2 linked regions of the Styela clava genome follow. The protein of the gene in region 1 binds, or shares a complex with, the protein of each later gene. Links are inferred from orthologs where the notes say so. Each region holds a gene or a part of one and is shown in the gene's direction. Other genes may lie near its edges. The genes, in order: ankyrin repeat and SAM domain-containing protein 6-like and ankyrin repeat and SAM domain-containing protein 3-like.

Evidence for each region.
Region 2: the proteins of ankyrin repeat and SAM domain-containing protein 6-like (region 1) and ankyrin repeat and SAM domain-containing protein 3-like are in contact, whole or in part, in a crystal structure (PDB 4NL9), measured with the Homo sapiens proteins. The link is inferred for Styela clava from reciprocal best matches to the Homo sapiens genes ANKS6 and ANKS3. Residues at the interface, in NP_775822.3 of Homo sapiens: Glu796, Gln797, Glu798, Val799, Asp800, Glu802, Ala803, Thr806, Leu807, Asp811, Glu814, Leu815; in NP_597707.1 of Homo sapiens: Lys441, Tyr442, Thr470, Leu471, Phe472, Gly473, Pro474, Arg476, Lys477, Arg484.

The regions. Positions count from the first base shown.
Region 1 is NC_135250.1:12,182,680-12,190,875, forward strand, and holds the start of ankyrin repeat and SAM domain-containing protein 6-like, read left to right. Parts: upstream 1-5,160; 5' UTR 5,161-5,198; coding exon 5,199-7,709; 3' UTR 7,710-8,196.
Region 2 is NC_135251.1:30,860,298-30,868,136, forward strand, and holds the start of ankyrin repeat and SAM domain-containing protein 3-like, read left to right. Parts: upstream 1-4,456; 5' UTR 4,457-4,578; intron 4,579-4,833; exon of another isoform or gene 4,834-5,609; 5' UTR 5,610-7,095; coding exon 7,096-7,183; intron 7,184-7,719; coding exon 7,720-7,825; intron 7,826-7,839. UniProt on the Homo sapiens protein: May be involved in vasopressin signaling in the kidney.

The DNA.
Region 1 (8,196 bases):
ACTTTTTTGCATTACTGGAATTAATTAAACATTCGCAAAGATCCAGATTAACCCATGATCATGTGGCCTCGTTAGTTAGAGTTGGTACTATAAAATCATTTCAGCCTGGCCTTAGTATGCTGGTGACACAAAAAAAAGATGCCAAACGTCAGGACAAATGTTATTATTAAAACGTTGAGTTTATACTGTATTATTTTTGTTAATTTTAAGTTCATATATTTAGATTAAGTTATTTTTAGTGTATGTATTATTCTTTCCTTATCCAAAGCTTGTTCAAAAATGATTTTGATCGTTGTACATAGAATTTTATGATTTTTTATAATATATACAGTAACTTGCAAATGTTGCAATAATAGTGGAATGCAAATATTAATATGTAATTGCATTTGAAATTGAAGAAAATAATAAAACTTAATCCAACTGTTTAGTTGCATCACAATATATGTCACAAACTAAAACTATCTTAAAAATATCTTTCAAGTATTCATTATCAAAAACTGTTTGCGGCCCTTTTTACAATTTCCAAAATGCAATGCGGCTCTCGAAAACCCATGAGTTTGACACCACTGATCTATTCTAGACGATTCAAGCATTGCTTTGGGAAATAATATCACTTCAATTAAATTGAAATAATCTCGCTATATTAAATACAAAATCGTTGCTATCATAAAGGTAAACCAATTCAGCCACTCGAAATATATTGGCCTTCACAAAGAAATGGAGGCAAAATTGAGAGTTCATGAGCTATGAACATTTGTTCTTTTCTTTGTCTTGGACTTTTCATACTCCACAGCCTCTATTAATTTTTTATAATTTTAATTACCATGTAATGGTCATACATATCTTTAACTTGTATTTTCTGTCATGATGTATTATCTCAATGTGCCAAACTATTAATTAGTGTGCATATTTTGCTTCCAGATGACATAAATGTATTGTCTTGTTTACTACCTCAGCTTGGAGTATTGACAAGAAAAGGTGCCAGTAAATTAGGTAAAAATTTTTTTAACTCTTTGTTATAATCAGAATTCACAATCAATAGGAATTATAAACAGCCAACAATCAATGAGAATTATATGCGAAATCCCTCAGAATAAATTTGTCTAAAATCGGAGGAAGGCAAAAAATATAGGTAGTTTCCACTTTCCATCCACACAAGCATTTCAAGAAGACTTGCTCGAGCCAAACTAAATGAGCATCGTCAGGTGATCGGTAAGGCTGCAAGTTGAATTCAGCCGCCCTGCAACCTCCTGCATAGAAGATAATATTAATTAGTGGGCTATGAGCTAAATTCCTAAATTTAAACAAACCTATCTACGATGCATTATGTTCCAGCAATGTTACCTACGATTAACTGAATATGTAATATGTCTAATAAATTCACCTACAAAAGCAAGTTCGATAGGTGCAAACTTTGTGTTATGGAATTGTATCACAGCACAGTTTTGTATGACACCCTCTTTAAATGAAATTTCAATGATTAAGCGCAAACATTAAAATTACTAACTTTGAACTTTGTCATTATCTGCAAAATGTTCCACACAAATCTTTCCGCTATCGCGTTTGTAATCTTCTCTGATAAAAAAAACGTCTATGATGTCCAGAATTGCTCTTTACAGCGTGCCCGCCATTCCAGCTTTCTAAGTGAGCAAAACTTCTTAGATATAGAGATTATTTTGTTTTGTTACAGGCGCAAAAATGCAGGTACTACACGTAAAAAAGACGCCGAGTAGCAAAAGCTAGCGGAAAACGGACGCGAAAGGCGACGAGAAATATGTGCATTGGAGCGTATCATGAAATACAATCTTTCGCCTGTAGTCTTATGGAGTGACGTCAGAGTTGCCTATCATGTTGTTTAATGTCATTGGTGCAATGGACCTTTCCTCGAACTTTGACCCCCGACAAAATTCTCCTATACTTTACCATTGCAAAATTTTCGGGGCTATTTCAAAAGTGCTTTTGCGAGTTGGCGCCTGTAAAATGGGGTATGTATTACAAACCATATTATGATTTATCGCATACAACAATCTGTTTTTTAAAAGTTCCGGTAAAGAATTTTAGCCTAGTCTATCACACCTATTTCTACACTAATGTTTCATTACTGCATTTAAACTAAAACTCCAAGAAAGAAAGAGTGATCATTGAACTATCTGATTTATATTTAAGTTTGCGAAACACATCAGAAAACTAACGAATAGAGTTCAAAAACGCGAAAACAAGGGGATGTTTACGACAACGCTTGAAAATCTGTCTGAGTGAGAAAAGTGTCTGAGCGGATGCGAAAAGGGAGCATTGTTACATCACTTTTTGCATCTTGCTGATTGGCCAATGTCACGAAGTAAACAAGGAAGTCGATGCTCAGGGAAAGGTCCATAGTATGTAGGTGCAAACTTCCTGGTGCTTACTGGCGCAACTTATCTAGGTGCAAATGTAATGGGTCCCTTTGTCCAAATGAACGTCAAGGGTCAACAGACCAATGTTCATAAATTCATAATAACAGCCCGCGATAATGCTGTTCTGGTTCCTTAATATATGCTAATTGTCCACACGTTGAGGTGTTCAGATCTGTAGATAGATAGATAGATACGGTACCGTAGTTTATTTGTGTTTCCAGTGTCACGAGATTGAATTCCTGAATGGATTTTATCACAAAGCATTTACGATTTGATTTAGCTATTTGTTTAACATTGTTGGATTAATGAAAATTGCGCGTCTGTGACTTCTGAGAAGCAAAGCCCGTACAGAATGTCGGCGCATGTAAATAGATGAATGCATGCATTTGTTAGCCATCTAGGCCTATTCATGAATTGTGGATATTTTGATTACGTTTTTGATTTTATTGAAATACTGTGAGTATTATTAAATTGTATAATACTAGATTATACAGGTACTTGTACGTACAGGTACCGTACTAGCCGTAGGAAAGATTAAGATTTTTACTTAATATGACCGAATGACCAGGCATATACCCGTAGCGATAATTTGGCTACAAAGAAATTCTGTTATTGGACACGTCAGTGGACATAACGATCGTTTCAATATTATGTTGTTTTTCTGGTTCTTGTTTTTCTTCTTCTTCGTCATGATAAAATCGCTTTTCTTTTCGAATACCGGTACTGGACCAATTTCTTCGAAATTTTCAGTGGTTAAAGATTGATTTTTTCACCAGAAGGCTATTACTTTCACTTATAAATTTCAAAAATTTCTGTGGACTTCGAGAGATTCGTTTAGTTAACTACTAAAAACAACAATCACATAGAGCTGGAGACTCAATATTTAAAAATAAAATCATCTGGACTAATTTTGTTAAAGATTTTGAAATACTCAAAAATTATATTTTAGTCAGTACTGTAAGTAGTAAATTTAATATCTTTAAAAAAGAAATATATTTAATGTGTTCTCTTCTTTTCTTTCATCTTACTTAGTATACTTTATATAAAAAAAACTATTTTGAAAATTGTTTATCTAATTGCATGACAATGTGATATCAATACTTTCCATGATGAACAGGATGAACACAATCAACTACCTGACTACAGCTTTATGAGTGTTTGTATGATTAGGTAATTTTGTGTGTGCAATATTTCATCATTTATATCTCATTAAAAACGTTATGGATGCTACGCTTAACCTCATTACAGCATTCAGGCATTGTGGATTTGTCCAATTTTTAAATGTTTTCCCGTTTTATTTGTGTGCTTTTGTCCAAGATGCTCTACCAGAATGAACTATGCTTATGTTTAATATTAATACTGTGTGCATACCAACTCTTTAAGAGTACGTAGTGTGGTCCACATGATGGCCGGTCGGTTTTGGCTTCCTCCACCATCAGGTCCGTGTGCCGGATTCGGTACACCGAAGTGTCTCATTGGGCCCACCCACTTGTGTCTGCTTAACTTACGACTACAGGTTTTGTGGATATCGATTTCTGTTGAAAATATCGATGAAAATGATGAATTGTTCACTAAAATAAATACCATAATTAAATATATTATATAAAACGAACCAGATTTCACCTAACTCAAGAATTTATATTCATGCTTCCGAATTATTGTTCTGAAGTATGCAGATTAACAAAAGCAAAAACAAATCTCCTTTATTAACATATTCAAACCTAAGGAATAAGTATAAAAAAGCTTTCGGACGCCTGCAGTAGGCTACATCAGCCCCATTAATCATTGTGCCACTTGGTGCAATAGATGTTCTTGTGCATTAGCTGTTAAACTAGTTTTTTTTTCTAAATAAACTGTTTTATTCATAGTTTCGTATTGATTTTTCAGCCCAGTAAGAAAGTCTATTTTCTGGAACCATCCCACTCAGGAAAGTAATTCCCCACCAGTGTTCCCTCTAAGGTGTGCGCGCGCACACAGCTTACAGAGGCTGCGCACCCGCATAGATTTACTGCGCACAGACGTATTTCGATGTAATGTAACAATGTGCTCGGTTCGCAGGTTGAGAAAGTTTGTTGTTGGCCCACTTATTACCCGGTTAGAACGCCAAAATTTCTTCATTGGTTTTTGCACAAATATTAGTCATTTCCAAAAAAGTGTGCACACACCAAAATTTCTGCGCACACACACGACAAAAAATTAGAGGGAACATTGTTCCCCATCCTTGCTCTATCAGCATATTAAGTTTCAGCTCGTTGTTTTCCCCTCTAGGAATAGTTAACCAGTTCTTCTTAATGGTAGAGTAAGCCATAACGGACCAAGACCAACGGTTATGTATATGGATCTAAGTCGCCATGGAGTCCAATAATCCTCATGCACATAACCTGTGGTTGTGAACCCACATAGAATAATCTGAGTTGCGATGAACTGATACTAATGCAAAGCTCAATGCCAACTGCCAATGGAACTTTAATGAACAATATTTCAAGTTTTGTCCTATTTTCTGGAGTTTTCTCTTTTATTTTGATCTTATATGTCAGTATGTGAAATGCAGGTCAACATTATAAATAACTGGACAGTTCTGCGTGTTGGTTAAAAATTTTATTGCATAATACTGCAATTCCATATTCATATATAGAAAAATTCTATCTTCTCAAATTAGTAGTTTCTTACATATCAGTTTCTTCTCGTCTAGAGCCTTGTTCACAATAAAAGTGTGAACCACTTGATAAAACAAAAAAATAAGATGTTGAGTAAAATATACATCATGTTTGTTTACATTCAAAGGGCTTATTCTTGATAGTTTCTATGATGTATGATCTATGTAATGTACCTCAGTCTATTCAAAATCTACTGTTGGCGGTCGAAAATGGTGACACACACAAAGTTCAATCAATTTTGGATCAAGATATTTCAGTTGAAACCACTGATGCAGATGGGAATAGTTTGTTACAAATAGCAGCTGCAAATGGTCATGAAAACATAGTCAGACTTCTTTTAATTAGAGGTGCTGCACTTGATAGAAAAAATCTATACGGTTGGACACCTTTAATGCAAGCAGCACGATATGGCCATGAAAGTGTGGTATTACATTTGCTAAACAGCAAAACGGATATTAATACAACAACAATGATGGGAATTTCAGCCTTGACTTTAGCGGTGAAGGGGGGTCATAACAAGGTTGTGGAGATTTTACTTGAAAATCACTTCACTGTTGACTGTGTTGAAAATACTCTCCATTTTGCTACTCCTCTCATGGTGGCAACATTGGGTGGCAGGGATGATTTGCTCCGTACCTTATTGCGATGGGGAGTGCCAGCTGACCAAAGGCATATTGCTACAGGTTGGACTGCTCTGATGGTGACTGCGATGACTGGACAACTACCCATGGCTCGTTTATTGGTTGATAAAGGCTGCGATCCAAATCGTAAAAACCGGCATGAAAAAACAGCTCTTGCAATTGCCACAGAGTGTGAACTACGGGAGATTAGGGGATATCTAGATAGAAAAACGACAGATAAACCTGAAAAAGTTGATGATCAAGGTATCAAAATCATAGCTGCTGTTAAAAAAGGTGATTATGAAAAAGTCAAAGAAATTTTAATCAACCACAAAGATGAATGTAATGCAACAACAACTGATGGTGCCACACCACTCATGTATGCAGCTATTACTGGACAAACAGAAATGATTAAATTGCTCGTTGAAAATGGAGCAGACGTTAATGCCAAAGATTATGAAAATGGTTGGACAGCTCTAATGCAAGCAACTTACTACAGTAAAGTTGAGGCTGCCAAGTGCTTAATTGGATTGAATGCAGATGTGGGATGTAGAGCCAAAAATAATATAACTGCCTTCGATATGGCACTCTTAATCAATGCACCTACAAGTCTTTTCAGATTACTTGCAGAACATGCTATGCAGACAAGTAATTCATCAGCTGCAAATGGAAAAACAATAGTAGAAGGAGATGTTGTACCGAGCAAATTAACAAACACTACTATGGCCTGGGCAAACACTGTACCGTGTGAAATACAAGCTACTGATGATAGACAGAAGGAAGCACCAGGTCAAGGTACACAGAAGAAAAGCATGTGGTCTAAGTTAGGCAAGCCATTTAAAAATATTAAACTGACTCGTACTTTTCGGAGCACATTCAAGAATCCCAATAAAGTGGATAATTTTGAAAGTACGTTAATAGCATCTGGTGATGACGCATGTGATCAAAAAGATGGTTCACATGGCAACAGTGTAACAATAGCGGATCCTTATAGCATGACAAATCACAGTGCACCAAAGTCCAGATTGCCTGAAGAGAAATTGGCTCTTATTCAGCCTCCTTTTCAGTCAACAGCGGGAGTTGATCGACACAACACCAATTCACAAAAAAAGACACTAGGTTCGAGAACATCAATGTCTGCAAGTTTAAATAGTAGTGGTGAAAGCTCTGTCAGTCGTAGTGTTGTTAAACCTGTCAAGTTCTTGCAAAGCCCAGGAAATTCAGGTTGTTCAAACACTGGCAGTAGTCCACATTCTTCTGGTGGTGCGAGTGATGTCACGCATAGCTTCTCATTGCCTAAACATGGAAATAATCCGCACAAACAATCCGGTGATCGATATTCTGACACTGTTCTTTCAAAGATGGCCCAAATGAAACAAAGGAAAGATACTTCTTCGAATGCAAGTGGTGGGAGAATAAGGGGATCCATATCTGCGGAACAACTATCAGTCCAACCCCACCAAAAGACTCATGGTCACAGACGCATGGGAAGTAGAGTATCCATTGTGTCATCCCAGAGTACAAGCTCAACTTTGACTCCTCCAAGGAGTCCAGAACCTCAGACTCACTCGGATAAAATGCGATCTAGGTACACTGGATCTGGAAGTCGAGGAATGTCATCCCCCGATTCTACTCATAGTCATAAAAAGAAGAGACGTGCGAGGCCCGTATCAAGACCAACTTCATTCAATGAAGATGATGAACTATCTGTTATCCTTCAGAAACTTTCTCTTGAAAATTACCACCCAATTTTTGAAAAAGAGGAAATTGACATGGATACATTTCTTACAATGACAAATGGTGATTTAAGGTCTCTTGGAATAACACAAGAATTCCCAAGACAGCAACTTCTGAAAGCAATTAACCATTTAAGTGAAGGAAAAGAGAACTATAAAAAACCGGGAGGTATTCCTACATATTCATATAGTATTACTAGTGATTCAGAACGAAATTCAAGTAAGAAATCGAGTAGTTCAACGCAGTTTGAACCTCCATCATGGAGCTATTACTCTAATGTTAAGCCTCGTTCAGGATCATGATTTAAAAAATATTTTGTTAAAAAAGTTTCATATCAATATTAGCTTGCACTCAATTTTGACTTTGGTATGTTCTTTTGGACTAATGTATACACAATTTTGATTTATATATTTGAGCTTCCTATATGTATATGTTCCACAATGATGCCATATTTTTAGTATAGAAAATTTACAATTGTGATACTTTTTTTTCTGTTTTCATATCCTCTACAGTCCTGATAAAAGTTTCATAGGTTAAACAACCCTGCTTTTTTATAGTTGAAGTTATGTTTTCTTTCAGAAGCATCATATGTTGAATGATTATTTACTTAACCATTGAATGGAATTCAAAACCTCTTTTAACATCACTGATTCACAAAACTCTTTGTTGCTTCTTTTATATTGCCTTCATTGTGAAGTATTACTTTGTTTGTATTAAAAATGACTCTGACTGTGCACTTTTGTGGATTTAAAAAGTTTCAGCTATAATTTTGGATTTTAAAATATACTG
Region 2 (7,839 bases), on another chromosome or scaffold:
GTTAGTTCGGATATCTATAATTTTCACTATCCGGATAACGGATATATCCGGGTATTGCGTATTTTAAATATCCGGTTAATCGGATAGTTACTGCTGATTTTAGAGAACCGATTTCGCAGGATTTTCGCGGTGAATTGACCAAAAACCACCACACAATTCTGTTGTAAATACTCACATATGTATTATTTTTCTTGACTAAGAATGATTGTGCATTTTAATATTGCATGTGTCAATAAATAATAATTTGGGCTCAGTAATCGTACCGATGTACAGCGGAATAATAAAATGAAACATTTTTTGAAAATATTGTGTCCTAATTGTTTTTCCCCCGACTGCTAAGTTATTTTCTCCTATTCAAATAATATGTAAAGATTTATATTATTTCTACTTTATTGTTAATTTTTTTTAAAAGTTTCTTTTTGTGTCTAGATCCTCTTTTCTTTAAATTTTGACTCGTACTAAATTTTAGTGTCGCACACTCACAATGATCATTTCTGATCATCCGCACCTTCCTATCAATTGCAATGAAATTTAATATTGTCATGTATAGTATTTTGTGTTCTATAATATTTTGTGATTTCTTGCACGACGAAATAAACTTTGTTAATATATACCACAAGAGCATACATATAAATGAAATCATGAACACAGAAAATCGTGCATTTCGAACATTTTATTTCGGTGAGAGAAGTATCCAAAAAAAAATAGAATATAGGGGAGACAAATTACGTGAAGTGTATAGGAAAATATAAGTAATTTGAACAAAAAATTTAATAACAAAGCAAATTGATGATTATGAAAAAACCGAAGTGGTCAGAAATTTCTTCTAATTTGAAAACTTCACTCATTTAACATGCCACTGTAAATATTCTCACGTTTGTACTAATTAGGCCACAACTTTAAATATATTTCCATTCGAATACCTTTTAAACTAAATTAACAGAACCAAAACAATGCTGCGCCAGTTTTTGAACAACTTTACCTACCACCCTAAATGAGTAAACGAAAAACATGACACGATACAGAGTCTGTCAAATTAAACTTTGCTGAAATATTATAGATCAATTTTCAAACAAATTTGTTTGTGAAAGTTCCATAAAAACCATAAATGTAATAACAGCCTTTCCTCCTATTTTTGAAATTTTCGAAAACGTCACTAATAAAGGCGGTCGAATTTTACAGGCTAATTTTGTTATCATCGCAGATCGTTTTCTTCCGCGTCGCGTGATTATTTGGGGAATTAACATCGGCATTATGCCAGTTTTGATTTGAAAAGAAGTTACATCCCGTGAAAAGTTACCCTTATTACGAAATTTTGGCGATTCAACAGCGCCTAACAGTCTTGTTTTATCTATCACTGGCTGATAAAACAAGAGTCGTGGTATTTTCGTTAGCATTCACTTCCCTATTTTCAGTCAAAAATGTGTGTTTCAGATCTACTCTCTTAACGATAGATAGATACGACGATAGATAACATACTGCGGCCATTTCAGTTCCGGGCGAAATAAAACAATTATCGGCGTTATATACCGTTGAGACTGAACCCGACTTTTCTCTCGAAAATGTTGATATATAACTATAAGCAGTATATATTTACGCTATAAGCTAATTAATATCTGCATTTATTGTACTTAATAAATTATACTCATTGGAATTGCAATAACAGCTCAAATTTGATGAATTTTCAAGATCGCTAAAATAACAAATTGGATTTGTTCGTGCAGATAACCATTTATTTTCATATCTAGAGTAGAAATGCTTTTACTTTAAGGTAAGTCGGGCTCTTCTATAACGCAAATACGCAATAATCACATTTTTCTGCGTGTTTTGTGATGTAATACTATAGTCAAGTTCACTCCAGCATTACACGGATGACTAAAATATAGGCCGAGTAGTGTGGATATAAGTGATTATTATATGCTCTGACAGATGTCAGTGGCCGGTATGTTAGTCGTTGGTGGCCACTCAACAAAAAATATAAAAATACCTAATGCGCATATGCATTATTTATACTGCTCTAGTATCCGGTTAACCGTTACAATAATATCCGGATATCAGATAGCAAAATACCTCTTGGTTAACCGATTATCCGGTTAACCGCTATCCGGATAATCCAACCCTAGTTGTAATGCTGCCTTTATTGGAGGTTTTCATGAAAAGACCATGTTACACGACGAAAATTCAGTCATTTTTAAACATCTCTCAAAGAATTATAAAAAAATTTTGTGCACTGTAACAGTCGCTTTAGCTTGTTTACTATATATTAACAATACGAGGAGTGTAATTAATGATTGTTTTGCTTTAATTGCTATTGTGAAACTAATCAAAATATACACTTTCTTTTGAAAATCATTGGGAACATTTATTTTTACGCGTGGGTATTTTCTGCGATTCTGTCAGTCACAATTTCGTAGCTTCACAGAGGTGTACGATACGGTACCCATACTGTTAAACTTTATCCAGTTATCCAAGGTTTTGATTGTTCTCCTGATTTCATAATCCTGTAATCAGTTTTTATCAATCATTTAATCGCCTTTTATGCTAATCATGGAGTCTGAATACGGTACCGGTACTGTACAGCTGTAACGGTACCGGTACGGTACTGAAATTAACTTATCTTATCGTTAATGCAGAAATGTGATACCGGTAAGCTGTACCGGTACGGTACCGGTACCGTTAACATCTGAACAGGCACTATTATTATGTTTGTGTTTACTAGATTTCATGCCGTGCTGCTTTATACCGGTATTATTTGCAGACAAATGCAGGGTTGTCCAAAACGAATCGAATATTCGAAAACATTCGAATATCAAAGTATTCGAATACCTTTTCGGCTGATTTTCGAATAATTCCGAATAATAGCCACTTTTCGCCGTCAGCAAGGAGTTTTGTTTCGTTTTAAAGAGAACTCTTCAAACGATTTTCCGCGCTTTGTCACGTTTTGTAATGACGGTGAAATAGTATCGGCGCTTAAGTTGTTTGTTATCTTCTGTGCCAGCATTCGCCTCATATTGTTGCAACACATTTGTACGGTTGTGAGATTGGCACTATTGCCATTCCCTTGCAAGGCTTCTAATTTACGCATTCATTTGTATCGAGTCACGAGTCTCACATAAATCCATTACCAGTAAGTCAGATATTAAATAAGTTAAATAAAGTCGTACGCTTTGTTACAAATTACGACACCCAATAAATTGTCGCAGGTCGGAAAAAACAAGTTGATTTATTAGGAAAAATCATTTACACTATTTCCCGATTTTTGGCAAATAAGTTTGATAATGATAGTCAAAAAGTATCGACTTTATACTATGGTGATTTTCCGTTGCGACAAAATATTCAAATTCGTGAACAATAACAGCATTTAAAATGCCTTACCGTATTAATTTAATTTTGTTTAATCTATCTATTCTAATCTATTCAATACTGAGGCGATCTGCGGACATAAATTGTGTGGTAAACTGCCCCATTTATAATAAATTTTTTATTCCTATTTCCTTACTCAGGAAAAACTATTACAACTCTAAAATACCACAACTACCTGTGGACATAAAATGTGTGGTAAACTGCCCGATTACAATTAATTTTTGATTTGTATTTTCGTACTCGTGGAAAAATAATTTATACTATTTCCCGCTTTTAGGAAACTACTTTTGATAATGATAATTAAAAGTATGGACTTTTATCTAGGATGATTTTCCGTTGCGACAAAATATTCAAATTCATGAACGACAACAGCATTTAAAATGTCTTACCGAATTAATTTAATTGTGTTTAAGGTAACTCATAGTTACGTCGACCTTACGAATAAATTGATGCATAACTACTCTAAAAGATACGGCGGCAATCTGTGGACATAAAATGTGTGGTAACTACCTGATTATGATTAATTTTCGATTCCCAGTTTTGTACATACGAAAAACAAAAGCATTACAACTTTAAAATAATGCGACAATCTGTGGAAATATGTGTGGTAAAATGCCGGAATATAATTAATTTTTAATTTATATTTTCATACTCACAAAAATAATTTATACTTTTACCCACTTCCGGCAAATAGTTTTGATAATGATAGGTAAAAGTATTGACTTATTTAATAAATCGACGACTGATAACAGAATTTAAAATGTCTTGCGGTATTAATTTAATTGCGTTCAACGTAGCCTAACTCATGGTTGCGCCGTCCTACGAAAAAATGAAAGGATTACTTTTGTGAAAATAAATTTGAATAAATTTGAAAATAAATTTGAAATACCACGTCAACAGCGGGTATAAATTTTCTGGTAGCCAGCTTGTAGATAACGGTTATTCCATTGTTTATTGTATGCAAATACTGACATACACCAAGATAAGCTTATTTTACTTGAATTTATTTTCGAAGTATTCGAAATTTCATATTCGAAAATAATAATTTTGAATGTATTCGAAATAGTGAACTATTCGGTATTGGCCATCCCTGGACAAATGTATTAAATTGTTTTCAAAAAAGTTTATACAGCTCTGCAGTTACAATTGAACCTTACAACTTGCAGACTTGGAAATATAAGTTATTTGTTGAGAATCGAGAATCATCAAATATGAGTGAGTTAAAGCTTAACTTAAGTGTTATATCTGTCTACAGGTCTATGATACGGTACCTGGTACCGGTACCTGCATTCTTTATTTTATGTGATTAATCAGTTTTCCAATGCCAAATTTTGACTAGAAGTACCGGTAATTCCATGAAGTTTATTAATAGTACTGTACGGTACCGGTACATACTGAGGGAGGCGGACAACTCGACTACCCGTGTAGTCGAGTTGTCCGTCAGCCCATACTGACATACCGGTACCGGTACGGGTGAGTAATAAACAATAATTATTCATGCATGCCAACTCAGACACAATTTATTTTAAAAATAGATTTCCATGTAGTCTAATAATACTGATAACTTTTGTGTGAAGCGTCCTAGATACAATCATACTGTCATATGCAAACAGACATGCATAGGCTATCAACAAATTCATTTCGCGACTCGCTGTTGTTGGCATTTTTTTTTTCCAATTTGTAGCTAATGTTCTGGTATAATATAGAGAAATTGGTACTTCTGTACTTAAAAGTATTGTGGTCTTTGGATGGATTGCAATAAAGAGTGGCGATAATAGGGTAACTTACGTTACGTACCTGCGTACTGACGTAACTTGCAATCTGGCACGCCACCGCACCTCTGATTACCCTGCGTGGGTTCGAATTCCATGTGGGGTTTATTATATGCGAGAGGATTGCTGGACTCCTCGCTGCCGTAGGGTGGTTCCCGTATCCGCTGGGAGGTTATGGCTTCCTCCACCATCAAGTCCATGCATCTGAAAACAAATAATTGGCTAACTACTCCTATACCAGCATACCCTATATCAGAGTTTCCCAAACTTTTTGGGCCGCGGACCTCTGTTTGTGAATTTTATTTGTGACGGACCCCCATCCTATGCCGTATCAATTTCTTTGTCTAACTAACGAGAAAAGATGATGTTTCCTTTGACGAAATAAAACTCATGAAAGCCTGATTCAATACATATTGAAGTTATAATACTGGTAGACCAATGGCAATTCGATAAGATGCCCCTCCTTCCTTGCAGCAACGGTAACAGGCTCAAATGTCTTAGCAAAGTCGTACAAGTTATCGACTGGTGATAACTCAGTAACCCATTCAATCAATTATTACCAACGATGTAGCCCTGTGACGGAGGTCTACCTCATAGACGCCAAAAGTAAGAATCGTTCTACAACATCTTTTCACCCCCAACAATAACGATTTGTGATTGCATGAACTTATGACTTTATCTCGTTTACGAATGTCTGTCTGACAGTGGATATATGGTAAAATCTATGTGTTTCATGACTCATCGTTCATATCATTGCGGCCACCCTGTGCAGTCATCACGGACCCCAGTTTGGGAAACCCTGCCCAATGTGGACTGGTAGCTGGACGAGAGGCCGTGGTTCGCCATATGAATAACCGGTCTCATCGACTTTCCTCTTCCCTGGGATAAATATGTAAATCCTGTCTTATATCTGTATATATGGCTATGCTGATATCAGTCAGTGTCAGTACCCTGGTGTGGAAGGTTTTTTTTGTAATGATCAATTGATCATTTCGATTTCAAAATAATATTAGCGGTTAATAAGATTTACGTTTGATGCTAAATATCTTCTGTTAATCATGATACCACTGAGAACATTACTATAATTAACAACATCAGTGTTCTAAGTTTCATAAAGATTAAAAACTGAATTTTATATTTCCATCCTTCCAAGACATTTGAAATAAGTCAAATACTGTATCAGATTGAATTGGTCATTATATCAGCTTATATGTTTTAAAATTATAACAGCCTGAAAGTTCAATACAATCTTTGTATTTTGTCGTATTTTGTTTGTTTATTTTGGGCCCAAGCGTGGTTTAACTAGATTTGTGTGTGAACTGGTTAGCGGGCACATGATATTTTCATGTTTCAAATTGTTTTAAAAGTTGTTCTGATGCTCCAGAATTCTCCGTTTTTAATTATGGAGTTCTCTATAGGCTATATCTATTTATTAATTTTCTACTATTTTTTTGTCTTGCCTGTACTGTACCCCTTTTGCCATTACATTATTAGTATTGGTGCATTAGGAGTGCACATTGATTTCAGGATTTATTTTCATATATTTTTTAATTTATCAGTTGACCAATCAGGGAAGTAAGGGACATTTTTGTTTTTTTCGCACAATTATCTGGCTTGAATTAATAGTGGCCGACTCTGATTACCTTAGTTTGGTCATTTCGCTGTAGGCTGTATCACCATCTCCCAGTCTGTATGGAAATACCGAAATAAGTGCAGTATCCTCCCAGTCTGTATGGAAATATCGAAATAAGTGTAGTATCAATTATTATGTAGACATGTAATTTTATTCCTGTATTTTGGTTGAGAAATACTGAAATATAAATTGCCAAACATGCTAAATGCTGTTATAAAGCTAATGTAACTTATCACCTTTTTCAGTTTTCACCCTTTTCGGTAATTACATAAAACTTAACAAAAACTCAGCCAATAGCAATTTCCGGATTCAAGGCAATATTCAAAAATGGCAGTGCAAGGTATTGATAATTTTGAAGAATCGGGAATATTTCATCAAAGTTTGTCAATATGGAAGGGAATTTGTCACAGTGCAGGTAAGCTAGTAGTTGTACAAGTGTAGACCCTGGATCCTGAGTGCCCCGATAAAGCAATATTCTGAATATCTGACACTTCAGCTTTCGGTCAAGTGTCTGAATGTACAGGTACTGATTGGGGTTCGATCTTTTGTAAAATTAAAGTGCAAATGACTTGCCTCAATATTCTGCACTACTAAAGGCAAAGAGAGGATTGTGGTCTTCAGACAATGTTGGGACATCGATTATTTCCTGGGAAAGTCAATATGGGGGATGCACTCATGTCTCGTCATTCTAAAATTCTTTTAATGTAATACATATTCATGATATGTGGGTGTGAATCGTGTGATATATCTAAATGCCAGGTTATTTCGATTGCTTTTCTCCATTGCGGAGATGACGCCCCACTTCATATGTTTCTGATGCTATTTTTTCTAAAAAAAATAGGAGATACAAATAGTAGAGGATACTTGTATAATGCATGCTCAGCCCATATTTCGGAACCTGATATATTGAACATTTTGCTGAATGAAAGTCACCTTTATATTTATTTGCAGATGGAACATTTGTTTATGAAGATGATAATTTTGATCCCATTTCTCTTGATCTCCACACGTCTGCTTCTATTGGTGAAACTGAATTAGTTCAAGATATATTAGACAGGTATGATATACTTC